Stegostoma tigrinum: one gene and its partner. The protein of the gene in region 2 purifies or fractionates together with the protein of the main gene of each other region. This does not show direct contact. Links are inferred from orthologs where the notes say so. Each region holds a gene or a part of one and is shown on either strand. Other genes may lie near its edges.

What was found.
Region 1: the proteins of braf (region 2) and rptor purify together in Homo sapiens (affinity purification with mass spectrometry; 3 studies listed by BioGRID and IntAct, with this or other methods). This does not show direct contact. The link is inferred for Stegostoma tigrinum from reciprocal best matches to the Homo sapiens genes BRAF and RPTOR.

The regions. Positions count from the first base shown.
Region 1 is NC_081375.1:14,204,246-14,212,098, reverse strand, and holds the start of rptor (regulatory-associated protein of mTOR), read left to right. Parts: upstream 1-4,835; 5' UTR 4,836-5,245; coding exon 5,246-5,398; intron 5,399-7,853. UniProt on the Homo sapiens protein: Component of the mechanistic target of rapamycin complex 1 (mTORC1), an evolutionarily conserved central nutrient sensor that stimulates anabolic reactions and macromolecule biosynthesis to promote cellular biomass generation and growth.
Region 2 is NC_081371.1:2,748,974-2,756,027, forward strand, and holds the start of braf (serine/threonine-protein kinase B-raf), read right to left. Parts: upstream 3,001-7,054; 5' UTR 2,990-3,000; coding exon 2,891-2,989; intron 1-2,890. UniProt on the Homo sapiens protein: Protein kinase involved in the transduction of mitogenic signals from the cell membrane to the nucleus. Phosphorylates MAP2K1, and thereby activates the MAP kinase signal transduction pathway. Phosphorylates PFKFB2.

The sequences.
Region 1 (7,853 bases), on a different chromosome or scaffold from region 2:
AAACAGTTCACTTCCATAAATTGAACTCTGGATGCCAAGTTGGATAGCCTTCCTTTGGGATGCTGCTTCCAGTTGCAACTATAAACTAGCAGAGAATAACTTACTTATACCCCAAGGGGTGAAGCTCACCATTCCTAGTCTGTGTTCCAACACTCTCCCAGAGGCATGAGCTAAGAGTTTACTTCCCCATTCCTAAGCTTTGAAGTCCATTAGCCAACAAAGGATTCACAATAAACCCAGCTTCCATAAATCACAAAGATTTTCAGGTATGTGGAAAAACCCACTTAAGATTACCCTTTAACAGTTTGGGCCACTCCCTTTAAAACTGTACTTTTTAGTTTCCTACGAGGATATATAAGCTCATACTTGCATGTGTTATTTGGCAAAATGAACCTCAGGACAGTTTTCACACAAATGTATGGAATAGGCTTGAGTGAGTTCTTCATCTGCAACCATCTTATGACATTGTATTCTGGTGAAACTGTGCATAGAGTAGTGGGTGGGTACACACTCACAATACTGTTGTAGGTAATTCCTGATTTGGGGCCTGCCAGATAGTCATGGGAAGATGCCAGTCATAGACCATGTACTTCCATATACCTATCAGTGCTCAATGCACCAGCGGTGCTTATGTATCTTGATTTTTGCAAGCTTCTCATTATCATCAAAGTCCATAATGAAACTGGATATTCTGTTACTGCTCTTGATCTATAGCTGACGTCATCCCAACTGCTGGCGTTCTGAATCACTACTCAGCACAGAGACCCCAAAAGGCCAAGATTTGCAATGAGCAAAAATACCAACTAAGGTGCAATTTCTCCCTATTTTTCTTTATTTCTGTTAAATGGGGGAGTCTATTTTATTCTAAAAATTCTGCCTCACATATACTTTCTTCTGCAATGATCTCACAGAATATGAGTTCTCTGATTGGTGCTGCGAATCTGGTCCAGTCAGAGAGTCCTGGCTGACAGTTAGTTGGGTGAATGTCAGAGATACTGACTCTCTAGTATCTGACTCTGAATAAAGCAGCACTAAAGTCATGGACTGTTCATGTGCAAATGAAGGGTGGCTTGGCGACCAGATACCAACCTCTGTGTAGCTACTTCACTTTCTAAAATAAGAAAAAGCGAAAGGAAATAGGATTGTAAAAAGATGGAAATTAATGGAACATTACCAAAATTATATCTGAAAAATCACATGGCAAATTTTAGAGTCAAAAATTCAAAGATTTATGAGTCTAGTTTAGAAGATCAATCTTTGATATGTTCTTGAGATGGATTGGCTTGATCAAAATGTAAATGAACTGCCTCTGTCTTGACATTTGCCTGTGATTCAGTAATCACAACTGGAAAGATAAATTTCCTACACCTTATGTATGACTGTCAAATTTAAATGTTTCAGGGTTGTAGCTTCATCCCAAAGAATCTGTTGCAAATGTACTGAACCTTTCTTTGTGAAGCTTGTGGGCAGTGATATATTTGTAGGTAACTGCTTCTTCTTTAAATGACTGGTTGCTGTGATAGAGTCGTAGGTTGTTCGTAGTTTAAAATCAGAAAAAATAATTGCTGAGGTAATTGCTTTCACTTGCCAGGAGTTAAAAATGCCTGCTTGCTTAAATGTTATGGACAATTGGCAGCTCACAAGATAGATACTGATGAGGATGGCTGTACTGTCCATCCAGCAAGAAAAAAAAATCCTCTCTATCACAGCACCCAATCATATCTTCAGATTCCAGAGATTTTGCTTACATTATACTCCAACACCTTTCGCTCACAAACTAAAGTACAATTAATCATCCTTGTGTAAAGAACTGCAATTGGCAAGATGCACATGTTCCTCCTTGTTCTACTGTCCGGGTTTAGTTCATACAAATGATTCTGTTCACTGTCTTATATCTGTCCATAGTATCCAATCTTAATTAAGGCTCCATTCATAACTACTAGTTGGAATGTAATGTGAATAAGTGTGAAGCTATTCACTTTGGAAGAAAAACAGAAAGAAAGAGTATTTGTTTTAAAAGGTAAGGGGTTGGAAAGTTTTGATGTCCAAAGGGACCTGCTGTACTTGTTCATGAGTTATTGAAAGCAGGTGTAGCCAGCAACTGTATCTATGGTAATATTTAAGCAATATTTAGGTATTCACTCACGTTGCAATAGCCTTCGTGGTTTTGGACCAAATGCTGGAAAACGGGATTGTTGACCAGTGTGGACATGATGGGATGAATGGCCTCCTTCTGATCTGTAAACAACTATGAAAATATGAGTTAATTAGGAAAGCAAACGGTATGACAGCCTTAATCACAAGAAGACTTGAACACAGGAGAAAAAGATGTTGCTACAATTGTGTACAACATTGGTGGGACTGAGTCTGGGATATTGCATGCAGTTTATGTTCTCCTTATTTAAGGAGGGACGTATTTGCTACAGACAGAATGCAGAGGATATTCACCAGACTAATCCTTAGGATGTGGGATTCTTTTTTTAAGAGACAATGAGGAAGCTGGTCTTGTATCCCATAGAATATCAAAGAATGAGAGGTGTTCTTACTAAAACTCAGAAAATTCTTACAGGGTAGATATAAGAGGGAAGTTTCCTCTGGCTGGTGAGTCTAGACCATGTGGCAAAGTTACAGAATAATAATCAATTAGGACTGCAATGCGAAAGAAGTTCTTAGGAATTCTTTTCCTCAGAGGGTTGTGGAAATTCATTCTTTGAGCATATTCAAGTTAGAAATCAATACATTTCTGGAGACTACCAACATCAAAGGATATGAAGGTAGTGTGAGAACGTGGCGCTGAGGTAGATGATTAGCCATGATCTAATTGAATGGTGGATTAGGGTTAGTGTTAGGGTAAAAACAAACTCAGTGGGCTAATAGTCTACTCCTGCTCCTATGTTCCTAAGAAAGGAAAGGACAGGAAAAGAGGTCAAAGATGAAAGAACAAGGTTAAGATGTAGAGGACATATTAGCACTACTTAGCCAACTCCTGTGGATTGATTCAGTTAATGTACACAACTTCCTGTTTTAGCCGATTTTGTTTTTGTAGCGCTGAGTGCCACATATCTGTGCCTCATGATTGAAAATACCTAAGTTTGATATGACTTATTGTGAAAAGAAAGGGTTACATCATTAAATTTTTACAGGTGATTTTACTTCTTAAAGCAAGTTGATCTTCACAAAGAGGTGACAAAGACTGTCAGTTGGCTTGTCTAGCTAATTTTTTAAAAAGATCATGGTTCATCCATGACTGCATCTGACTATCTCTTGAATGATTTCAGATGTTTGGCTTTTTGACCCTACTCAAGAAATGATGCCGAGTATTGATCACTCTGCATGTAGAAATACCTTCTGATGTCAATCCCGAAGATCCCTCTTATTAGTTTATATTGTATCTCCAAGTCACACAATCATAGCTTATGTTAAAGGCTCAGTCTTATCTTTTGTTTTCCGCTTTTTATTTTATGTTCACATATCTCAATTCAGTCCTCAATAGTATGAGTAACTCTGCTTAGCTCAACTTGTTATGGATGGATGAGTTACTGATATGTTATCATTAAAGGGACAGAAAGATTAAAATTCTAAGCAGGTTTGGCTTGCCTATCTGATTTTCAGCTAAACAAATTAGAAGAAAACTAAGGTGTAAAATAAAATTAAAATTGCATGGGACATTAAGCAAAGGTATTTCAAAAGTTGAATGACAGATGAGAGATGTGAAAAGTCATTCTTGTCTCAGTGGGTACATTCTCACCTGAGTTGTGGGGATGAAATCTGGCTCTAGAGACTTGAGCACATTACCTTCACCGACACACTAGATGTTGCACTGAGATAGTACCAAGGGTGTTGGACATACCACCTTAATTCTGTAATGTTAAACTAATGCTAGCTCCCGCAGCATTATTGAAAAAGGAGTGGGGCCGTTCTCTTTGTTTTCTGGCCAATATTTATCCTTCAAGCTACATCACCAGAACAGATTATTTAACCATTGCTATTTTGCAAGATGATGCTGTACACCACTTGGCCTTTGTGTTTTTCACACTGTAGTATCAAATCCTGCAGAGAGTCTTATAGCTGAGATGACTGAGTTCTATCAACCGCAACCATTTTCCTTTGCATAAAACATGTCACCAGTCAGCGCAGCGGTTCCCTCTTGTTTCTAATTGACTCTAACTTTGTTGGGACTCCTAAATATCACACTTTGTCAACTGCTGCCTTAATGCCAGGGTCTTACCTCACCTCTGGAGTTCAGATCCAGTGTGGATGAGTAAAATGCATAAAAACGTTTTTGAACAAGTATTATTTTTCACAGGTTAAGAAATAATATGCTAGGTATAGAAGAGAAGAAAGATAGTCAGGCTGAAGGATTTCGAACACAGTCAGGTTGAAGATTGAGAAAACGTTCAAGTTGAATGATGAGAATACAAAAGCTGACGTTTCGTTCATCCAGCCTCACATTTTACATCTTGGATTCTCCAGCATCTGCAGTTCCCATTATCACTGATGAGAATACAGTCAGGGTGGGGAATTTAGAGAACAGTCAAGTTGAAAGATTGAAAATACAGTCAGATTAAATGTGTGAGAACACAATCGAGGTGAAAGATTTTGAATACAATCAGGGTAAAAGATTGCCAGGGTGAAGGATTGAGAGGACAGTCAGTTTGAAGGATTGAGAACACAATCAGATTGTAGTCCACCGTCAAGTTGAAGAAGGGTCTCTTGAACTGAAAACTCTGATTTCTCTCCACAGAAACCGCCAGACCCGCTGAGTTTTTCTGGCAGTCTGTATTTTTGAAGCATCGAGAACACAGTCAGAGTGAAAGATTGAGAAGAGTCAGTATGAAAGACTGAGTCCAGTCTGTTAGACTGAGAGGACGGAGCACATACATGAGGCAACATAAAAAACACACTTCCAGCCTGAGACCGGTTGCGACTGCGCGGATGGAGCCGCGCGGCTCGCCGTAGGGGCGCGGGGCATTGTGGCCTCGACCAAGATGGCGTCCTCCGTTCGGGCGGAATGAGGGGCCGCCGACCGGGATTTCGAGGCGGCCGTACCGGCACCGGTACCTCCTTGTCCGAATAGACTGCGTCTCGCTGTCAGCTTTCACCACCCCTTTTCCCCCCCTCACTTCCCCCTCCACTTGCTCTTTCCATCACCCCCCCCTTCTCCTGAGGTGGAGGTGGTTGAGGGGGGGGGGGAAGGGGGAGAGGTGTCAGACTCTGGTTGTACTGAGTGGAGCCGGGCCGCAGCATGGCTGGAGCCAGCCTCCTGGAGGACCTGCTGGAGGAGGAGCAGGGCGACATGACCGACTGGAACCTCCCGGTGGCTTTCGTAAAGAAGCGGCACTCGGAGAAAATCGAGGGATCCAAGGCGGTCACCCAGAGCTGGCGCATGAAAGACCGGGTAAATTCCCCCTTCTCTCTGTCTCCCTGACCTGCCTGGAGGTTACATTCAAACGCCCTCGCTCGCTACACCTTCCCTGGGGCTGCCTTCGTCCATCCTCATCCCATTCCATTTAACAAAAAAGTTTCTGTGCAGCTCGCAATAAAACTTCCCATTCCTCTCCGCATGGGTTTGCTTTCAGTGAGCAAAAGGAAACACGAGCGTTATGGTTTTCAAAAGTTTATTTACTCCATTGCCCGAAATTGCCACAACTTTTTGCCATTAAACTCTACCATATAAAATGCTGCTTTAACTCTAAACGCAAACCTTTGTATTTTGCACAATCGTTACAGCATTTCGTCTTGCTTTGTTAAATATGGATTATGCCTGATCTTTGAACAGGAGGCGTAATTAAATTCCAAAGAACCCATGTGGAAGCATAAGTACAGTTTTGTAGAATTTATCACCAGCGACACATTTGTCAGGAAATAACCTTTTAAGCAATGCTTCGAATTCACTTCACGTTTTTAAACGAAGAGTAAAGTACATTTCCAGCATGTAACTCTTGAGTCAAGTACTTGGTATTTAAAACAATTTTTAAAATGGTTTTTGACACTGTGGTTGCTGAATCTACATATTTCTCATGGCTATCAGTGTTTTAAACAAGATTCTGGTAGTTTTAGGCAAAAGTATTACTTTAACATCCCTGACCAACAATGTAATTGATAAGTTTGCAAACCTTGGAGAGTAAAGTTAGATGATTCTAAATGCAGATTAATTGGAGGTGTCATACTGTAAAAGTCTTAGATGTTATTAAATTTTGTTTGGAAACTTCATTATTTGATGCTGGAATTAAATAATGGATATATGCCTTTAAACTAGATTGGCAAAAGGGTGGGATCCTCAATAGGGAATCAAGTTGAGGCTGGGAAGAGATAGGGGAGTCAGAAATAGCACGTTCAAGAGACAGGTCTGGCTGGAACAGGACAGAGCGAGGGTTGCCTGATGGATTAGTTTGTAACTGTTTCAATGCAAGAGGGCTGACAGATAAGGCCGATGAACTTGATGTGGATAGGTATGTGGAGCTGGGATACTATAGCCATTAAGAAACATGGCTGAGGGAGGGACAGGACTGGCGGCTTAATGTGCCAGGGTGTAGGTGCTTTTGGAAAGTGGGGAGGGGGTGTTTCACAGCAGTAGTCAGATGAAATAACTGAGGGATCATCTAGTGAGGCTTTGGAGCTAAGAAATAAGGAGATGGTGACATTAATGGGGTTGTACTATAGGCCCCCCCAAATAGTTGATTGGGAATTAGGAAGAAATATGCAAGGAGACTGGGGTGACTTGCAGGAACAGTAGGGTCATCGTAGTGGGGGATTTTAATTTTCCTAATGTAGATTGGGACTGCCGTAGTATTAAGGATTTAGATGGGGTGCACTCAGGAAAGTTTCCTCAAGTAGTATGTAGAGGGCCCTACTTGGAAGGGCAGAACTCGACCAACTGTTGTGAAATAGGGCAGGGCAGGGCAGGTGACTGAAGTGACAGTGGGAGAGCACTTTGGGACCAGTGTCCATAATTCTGTCAATTTTAAAATAGCTATGGAGAAGGACAAAACTGGTCCACAGGGTCAAGTTCAAAATTGGGGCAAGGCGAGTTTTGATGGAATTATGCAGGAGCTTGCAGGAGTTGATTGGAGTAGTTTGTTGCAGGTGAAGGGACCTCTGGCAAGTGGGAGGCCTTTAAAAGCGTGATAGCTAGAGTTCAAGGTCTGTGTGTTCCTGTGAGGGTAAAGGGCATGGTTTGGCAAGAGTAGGGAATCCTGGATGACAAGAGATATTTAGGCTTTGACCAGAAAAAAGGAGGCATGGCTCAGGAATGAGCAGCAAGGATCAAGGGAATCCCTAGAGGTAGATAGGGGATACAGAGTTTACTGAAGGAAATGAGGATGGTGAAAAGGAAGATGAGGTAGCTTTGGCTGAGAAGATTAAGGTGAATCCGAAGAGATTCTTTAAGTACATTAAAGGAAAATACAATAACTAGAGAGAGAATATGATCCCTCAAAGACCAAAGGTATGTGTGGAACTGCAGTAGATGGATGAGGTCCTCAACATTTCTCCACTGTGTTTACTGTGGAGAAAGACATGAAGATTTGGGGCAGTTGAACTGGGGACCATTGTAAATGGTAGGGTCTTAAGGAGTGTAACAGAGTGTCCTTGGAGTTCAGGTGCATCATTCTCTGAAAGTGGAGTCACAGGTAGACAGGGCAGTGAAGAAGGCTTTTGGGACATTGGCCTTCATCAATCAGGGCATTAAGTATAGAAATTGGAAAGTTATGTTGCAGTTGGAGTATTGTGTTCAGTTTTGATAACCTTGATTTAGGAACGGTGTTATTCAACTGGAAGGAGTGCAGAAGAAATTTATAAGTATGTTGCCAGGACTCAAGGCATTGAGTTATAGAAAGAGGTTGAACAAACCA
Region 2 (7,054 bases):
TACAGTGACAGACCTGTACCCACCCATACTGGACCCGTGTTATACAGCGACAGACCTGTCCCGACCTGAACTGTACTCTAGTGTTCTACAGTGACAGACCTTTGCTCACCTGTACTATACCGCAGTGTTATACAGCGACAGCTCCATCTGCACCGGTTCTGTACCCCAGTGGTATACAGTGGCAGACCTGTCCACACCCGCACTGTATCCCTGTGTTAAACAGTGACAGACCTGTCCCCACCAGTACTGAAACCCAGTATTACACAGTGAGAAACCTGTGCCCACCAGTACTGTAGAAACATACAGATATATAGATATACAACGTTACAGCACAGCACAGGCCGTTCAGCCCTCGATGTTGTGCTGACCTGTCATATCGATCTCAAGCCCATCTAACCTACACTATTCCATGAACATCCATATGCTTATCCAATGACGACTTAAATGTAACTAAAGTTGGCAAATCTATTACCGTTGCAGGCAAAGCGTTCCATTCCCTTACTACAGTCTGAGTAAAGTACCACAGTGTCACAGAGTGGCAGACATGTCCCCACCGGTACGCTACCCAAGTATTATACAGTGACTGACCTGGCCCCACCTGTAGTGTACCCCAGTGTCATACAGTGACAGATCTGTCCCCACCAGTACCGTACCCCATTGTTATAGAGTGACAGACCTGTCCCCACCGGTACCGTGTCCCAGTGTTACACAATAACAGACCTGTCCCCACCTGCACTGTACCCCAGTGTTATACAGTGACACACCTGTCCCACCCAGTGTCATGCAGGGGCAGACCTGTCCCCACCTGTGCTGTACCCCAGTGTTGTACAGTGACAGACCTGTCCCCACCCATACTGTACCCATGTTATACAGTGACAGACCTGTCCCCACCCATACTGTACCCCAGTGTTATACAGTGACAGATCGCCCCCCACCCGTACCGTTCCCCAGTGTTATACAGTAACAGATCTGACCCACCAGTGCTGTACCCCAGTGTTATACAGTGACAGACCTGCCCCACCGGTACTCTACCCCGGTGTTACACAGTGACAAACCTGCGCCCACCAGTACAGTACCCCAGTGTTATACGTGGCAGACCTGTCCCCACCAGTACTGAACCCCTGTGTTACACAGCGACAGACCTGTCCCCACCAGTACTGAACCCCAGTGTTATACAGTGACAGACCTGTCCCCACCGGTACCGTACCCCAGTGTTATACAATAACAGACCTGTCCCCACCAGTACTGTACCCCAGTGTCACACAGTGACATCTCCTGTCCCCACCCATACTGGACCCGTGTTATACAGTGGCAGACCTGTCCCCACCAGTACTGTACCCCAGTGTTATACATTGACAGACCTGTCTCCACCAGTACTGTACCCCAGTGTTATACAGTGACAGACCTGTCTCCACCAGTACTGTACCCCAGTGTTATACAGTGACAGACCTGTCCCCACCAGTACTGTACCCCAGTGTCACACAGTGACATCTCCTGTCCCCACCCATACTGGACCCGTGTTATACAGTGGCAGACCTGTCCCCACCAGTACTGTACCCCAGTGTTACACATTGACAGACCTGTCCCCACCGGTACTGTACCCCAGTGTTATACAGTGACAAACCTGTCCCCACCTGTACTGTACCCCAGTGTTATACAGTGACAGACCTGTCCCCACCGGTACTGTACCCCAGTGTTATACAGTGACAGACCTGTCCTTACCAGTACTGTACCCCAGTGTTATACAGTGACAGACCTGTCCCCACCAGTACTGTACCCCAGTGTGATACAGTGACAGACCTGTCCCCACCGGTACTGTACCCCAGTGTTATACAGTGACAGACCTGTCCCCACCAGTACTGTACCCTAGTGTTACACAGTGACAGACCTGTCCCCACCGGTACTGTACCCCAGTGTTATACAGTGGCAGACCTGTCCCCACCAGTACTGTACCCCAGTGTTACACATTGACAAACCTGTCCCCACCGGTACTGTACCCCAGTGTTATACAGTGACAAACCTGTCCCCACCTGTACTGTACCCCAGTGTTATACAGTGACAGACCTGTCCCCACCGGTACTGTACCCCAGTGTTATACAGTGACAGACCTGTCCTTACCAGTACTGTACCCCAGTGTTATACAGTGACAGACCTGTCCTTACCAGTACTGTACCCCAGTGTTATAGTGACAGACCTGTCCTTACCAGTACTGTACCCCAGTGTTATACAGTGACAGACCTGTCCTTACCAGTACTGTACCCCAGTGTTACACAGTGACAGACCTGTCCCCACCAGTACTGTACCCTAGTGTTACACAGTGACAGACCTGTCCTTACCAGTACTGTACCCCAGTGTTATACAGTGACAGACCTGTCCTTACCAGTACTGTACCCCAGTGTTATACAGTGACAGACCTGTCCTTACCAGTACTGTACCCCAGTGTTACACAGTGACAGACCTGTCCCCACCAGTACTGTACCCTAGTGTTACACAGTGACAGACCTGTCCCCACCAGTACTGTACCCCAGTGTTATACAGTGACAGACCTGTCCTTACCAGTACTGTACCCCAGTGTTATACAGTGACAGACCTGTCCTTACCAGTACTGTACCCCAGTGTTACACAGTGACAGACCTGTCCCCACTGGTACTGTACCCCAGTGTTACACAGTGACAGACGTGCCTCAGTCAGGCCTATTGCCTCAGCACCAGACTGTTATTTATTTAGTTATTGATGATATTATTACACTCTGACCCTCATCTCTCTTTCTCTGTCAGTCCCTGGTTTGAAAGTCCCGCGGCTGCAGTGTTTGGGATTGACCCGATCCCACTCGGAAGTCCCAGCCTCCCTCCAAACCCCCGCCCATGTGTCCCGCTGATCGCAGTCTCACCTCCTCTGAGACACTGAGGCCCTCAGACTCCTCACCAGGCGGCTCCATCAGCTCCTCCGGGCCGTTTAACGGCGGCGGATCGGGGCTGGCGGCCGCCATCTTCGCGGCAGGCCCAGCCGGAACTGACGCCTGCGCAGCCATGACGTCGACGGTGAATTCTGGGAGCGAGGTCCTGACTGGGAGGTATACATAAACATTGACTCTTACAGGTCCTGACTGATAGATAGAGATAAACACAAGATGGACAGATCATGACTCAGTGATAAGGGTTAAATAAACATAGAGATTACCTGACTGAGACATAGAGGTGACTACAAGTTAAACTGTCCCTGGCTGAGTTATAGAGATAAATACAAGGTAGTCTGGTCCTGCCTAAGAGATATAAATAACTCAGAGGGAGAAAGATAAATATAAATCTGGACAGATTCACACAGATAAATAAAATGTAGACAGGTCCTGATTGAGAGATAATGATAACTACAAATATCACTGACAAATATGACTGAGAGAGAAATACAAATTAACCTTGCATTTATTGTAGGGAGTTCCACAACGATATCGCCAATGTAGTGTGTTCAATGTATTTCTTGATTTCATTCCTAAAACGTTTGAGCCTCATTTATAGACCTGGTTCCCAAGATACTTCTCCATCTACTCCCATCTGCCCCCCTTGTATCTTGAAATCTTTTGGTTTCCATTCTTATCAAAGAATATACTTGCATTTGCAAAAGTTCAGGGAAATATCCCTTGCTTCCTAGGATGAAGAGGTTGTCTTCTGAGGAAAGATTGAAAAGGTTGGGTTAACACTCTGGTGTTTAGAAGAATAGGAAGTAATACTATGGAAACCTGCAAGATTTGGAGGCTCACCTGTCCGGGTAACCGCTGGGAATGCTACCTGTCATGATGGGGGCTTCTAAAACGAGTGGACACAGTTTCAAAACAATATTCCATTTAAGCCAGAAATGAGGAGGAATTTTTTTTTCTCTCAGAAGGCAATTTAGCTTTTAAACTCTCTTGCCCAGATCATAGTGAGACTGTTTTTTTTTATATATTCAAGGCTCTATTAGATAGATACATCACAGGAAAGTGAAGTCAAGCCTGTCATTGGATCAGGCATGAATGGTTTGGGAGACTCAATAGGCTGAATGGCTATTTCTGCTCCTATCAGTTATGATTCTATGTGCAAAATGATGTAGGGGTCTGAGCATGTGCCTGATGGAGTGTGGGACAGAGGGATTCATTTTCATAGGGCACTGCCAACAAAACAGGAATGGATGGGAACTGTACCATTGGAAGAAGCTCCAATCCAACTGGATAAGATGGGATAGGGGTTCAGGTTCCGAGCAGAAAAGGTAAATAGACCGGTTGTTCAAACTATGTATGGTGTGAACAGAGAGTTTTTAAGGAAAGCAGTAATTTGCAAAATAGTCCAAAACCAAGTGTAAGTACAGTAAGAGTCAGTGAGGTGAGAGTGACAGCCCTTGACATCAAGGCTGCATTCGACCAAGTGTGTCATCATGGAGCCTTGCAAAACTGGAATCAATGGGTATCAGCGGGCAAACTCTCCGCTCATTGGAGTCATACCTGACGCACAGGAAGATGGTCGTGGTTGTGGGAGGTCAATCATCTCAGCTCCAGGACATCTCTGCAGGAGTTCCTCAGGGTAGTGTCCTAGGCCCAACCATCTTCAGCTGCTTCATCAATGACCTGCCCTCCAACATAAGATCAGAAGTAGGAATGGTCACTGATAATTGCACAATATTCAGCACTATTCATGACTCATCAGATACTGAAGCAGTCCATGTCCAAATACAACAAGGTCTCTGGACAATATCCACGCTTGGGCTGACAAGTGGCAAGTAACATTCATGCCAAACAAATGCCAGGCACTGACCATCTCCAATAAGAGACAATCTAACCATTGCCCACTGACATTCAATGGTGTTACCATCAGTGAAACCTCCACTGTTAACATCCTGGAGGTTTTCGTTAAACAAATATTCAACTGCAATTGCCACATAAAAACAGTGGCTACAAGAGCAGGTCAGAGACTGGGAATACTGTGGCGAGTAACTCACATTCTGACCCCATCAAAGCCTGTCCACAATCTACAAGGCACAAGTCAGGAGTGTAATGGAATACTCCCCACTTGCCTGGATGAGTGCAGCCCCAACAACACTCAAGAATCTTGACACCATCCAGGACAAAGCAACCCGCTTGATTGGACCACATCCACAAGCATCCACTCCTTCCACCACCGATGCTCAGTAGCAGCAGTGTGTGCTATCTACAGGATGCACTGCAGAAATTCACCAAGATCCTCAGACAGCACCTTCCAAACCCACGACCACTTCCATCTAGAAGGACAAGGGCAGCAGATCTTTGGGAACACCACCATCTTCAGGTTTCCCTCCACGCCACACACCATCCTGAATTGGAAATTTATTGCCGTTCCTTCACCGTTGTTGGGTCAAAATCCTGGAATTCCCTCCCTAAGAGCTTTGTGGGTCAACCCACTGCAGGAGGACTGCAGCAGTTCAAAAAGGCAGCTCACCACCACCTTCTCAAGGGCAACTAGGGTCAGGCAATATATGCTGGGCACAGCCAGTGATGTCCACATCCCACAAAAGAAAAATTAATTTAAAAAATGTTTGAGCTTTAGGCTCTACATGGAAAGGGAAGACTGAAAGATGTAAAGTAATTGATTAAAAGGGAGAAGTAAGAAACATAAGAGTAAAATATTTGAGGAAATAGACACACTAGAGTCTATAATAAGATAACCAAGTGTGAAGCTGGATGAACACAGCAGGCCAAGCAGCATCTCAGGAGCACAAAAGCTGACGTTTCAGCTAATAAGACATTGTTGACCCTTCATCAGATTCTCCAGCATCTGCAGTTCCCATTATCTCTGATCACACTAGAGTCTATAGCCTGGATAGCCGATTTATAGACAAACACAGTGTTATTATTACAGATATTGCAAAGTTCTCCTGAGTGGAAACTGTTCCTTTAAATTGAAAAAAAACACAAATATCACTGCAGTACTTAAGGAATGCAAAGGAAACTATAGACGAGTTGTTCTATCAACTGCTCTTGTGAAATGACTAAAGGCTACTTTTAAGGATAGAGAGATGCAACATTTTGAGAATGTCCAATTGATCAGAGAGCTAACATCTATTTACAATGATGTGGACATGCCAGTGTTAGACTGGGATCCACAAAATCAGAAGTCATACCAGGTTATAGTCCAACAGATTTGTTTGAAATCACAAGCTGTCAGAGCTGAAGTCACTTCACCCGATGAAGGAGCAACACTCCAAAAGTTGTTTCAGAGATAGTTGGAACTGCAGACGCTGGAGAATCTGCGATAACAAGGTGTAGAGCTGGATAAACACGGCGGGCCGAGCAGCATCAGAGGAGCAGGAAAGGCTGATGTTTCGGGCCTAGACCGTTCTTCATTTTTCAGAAGAAGCATCTAGGCCTGAAACGTCAGCCTTCCTGCTCCTCTGATGCTGCTCGGTCCACTGTGTTCATCCAGCCCTACACCTTGTTACTCCAAAAGTTGTGATCTATTTACAATGGTCATGCCTTACATAGCCTGAATATATTGGTGACTGAAGTAGCAGATGGGGGTGTTGCTATGGATGTTGTGTGTATGACTCTCCATGAAGTTCTTTCATAAACGACTTATCCTTTAAAAAAAATTGTTCATGGTTTGTGGGGCACAGATTCGTCAGCCAATATTTATAGCCCAGATGACAATTAAAAGTCAACCTAATTGCTGTGGGTCTGGAGTCACCTACAGGCCAAACCAGGTAAGGGTGGCAGACTTCCTTCCCTAAAGGGCATTAGTGAACCAGACTGGTTTTTACACGAATCAACAATTAGGCCGGTTTTTTTCAAATTTCAGAATTCCAGACGGTAGGATTTAATTCATGCCCACAGAACATTAGCCTGGGCTTCCAGGTTACTAATGCAGTAGATATTACGACTACCACATCACTGCTATCCCACAATGAATGTTTTGGTGACTGGAATAATGGACAAGAGAATGTCCTTTGGCTTTATTTACGTGGATTTCCGTAAAGTGTCTAATCAGTAAAGTTGCAATAGTCCCTGAGGACCATAGGCCTCATTAAAGAGATGACTGGTGGAGCTTTAGCT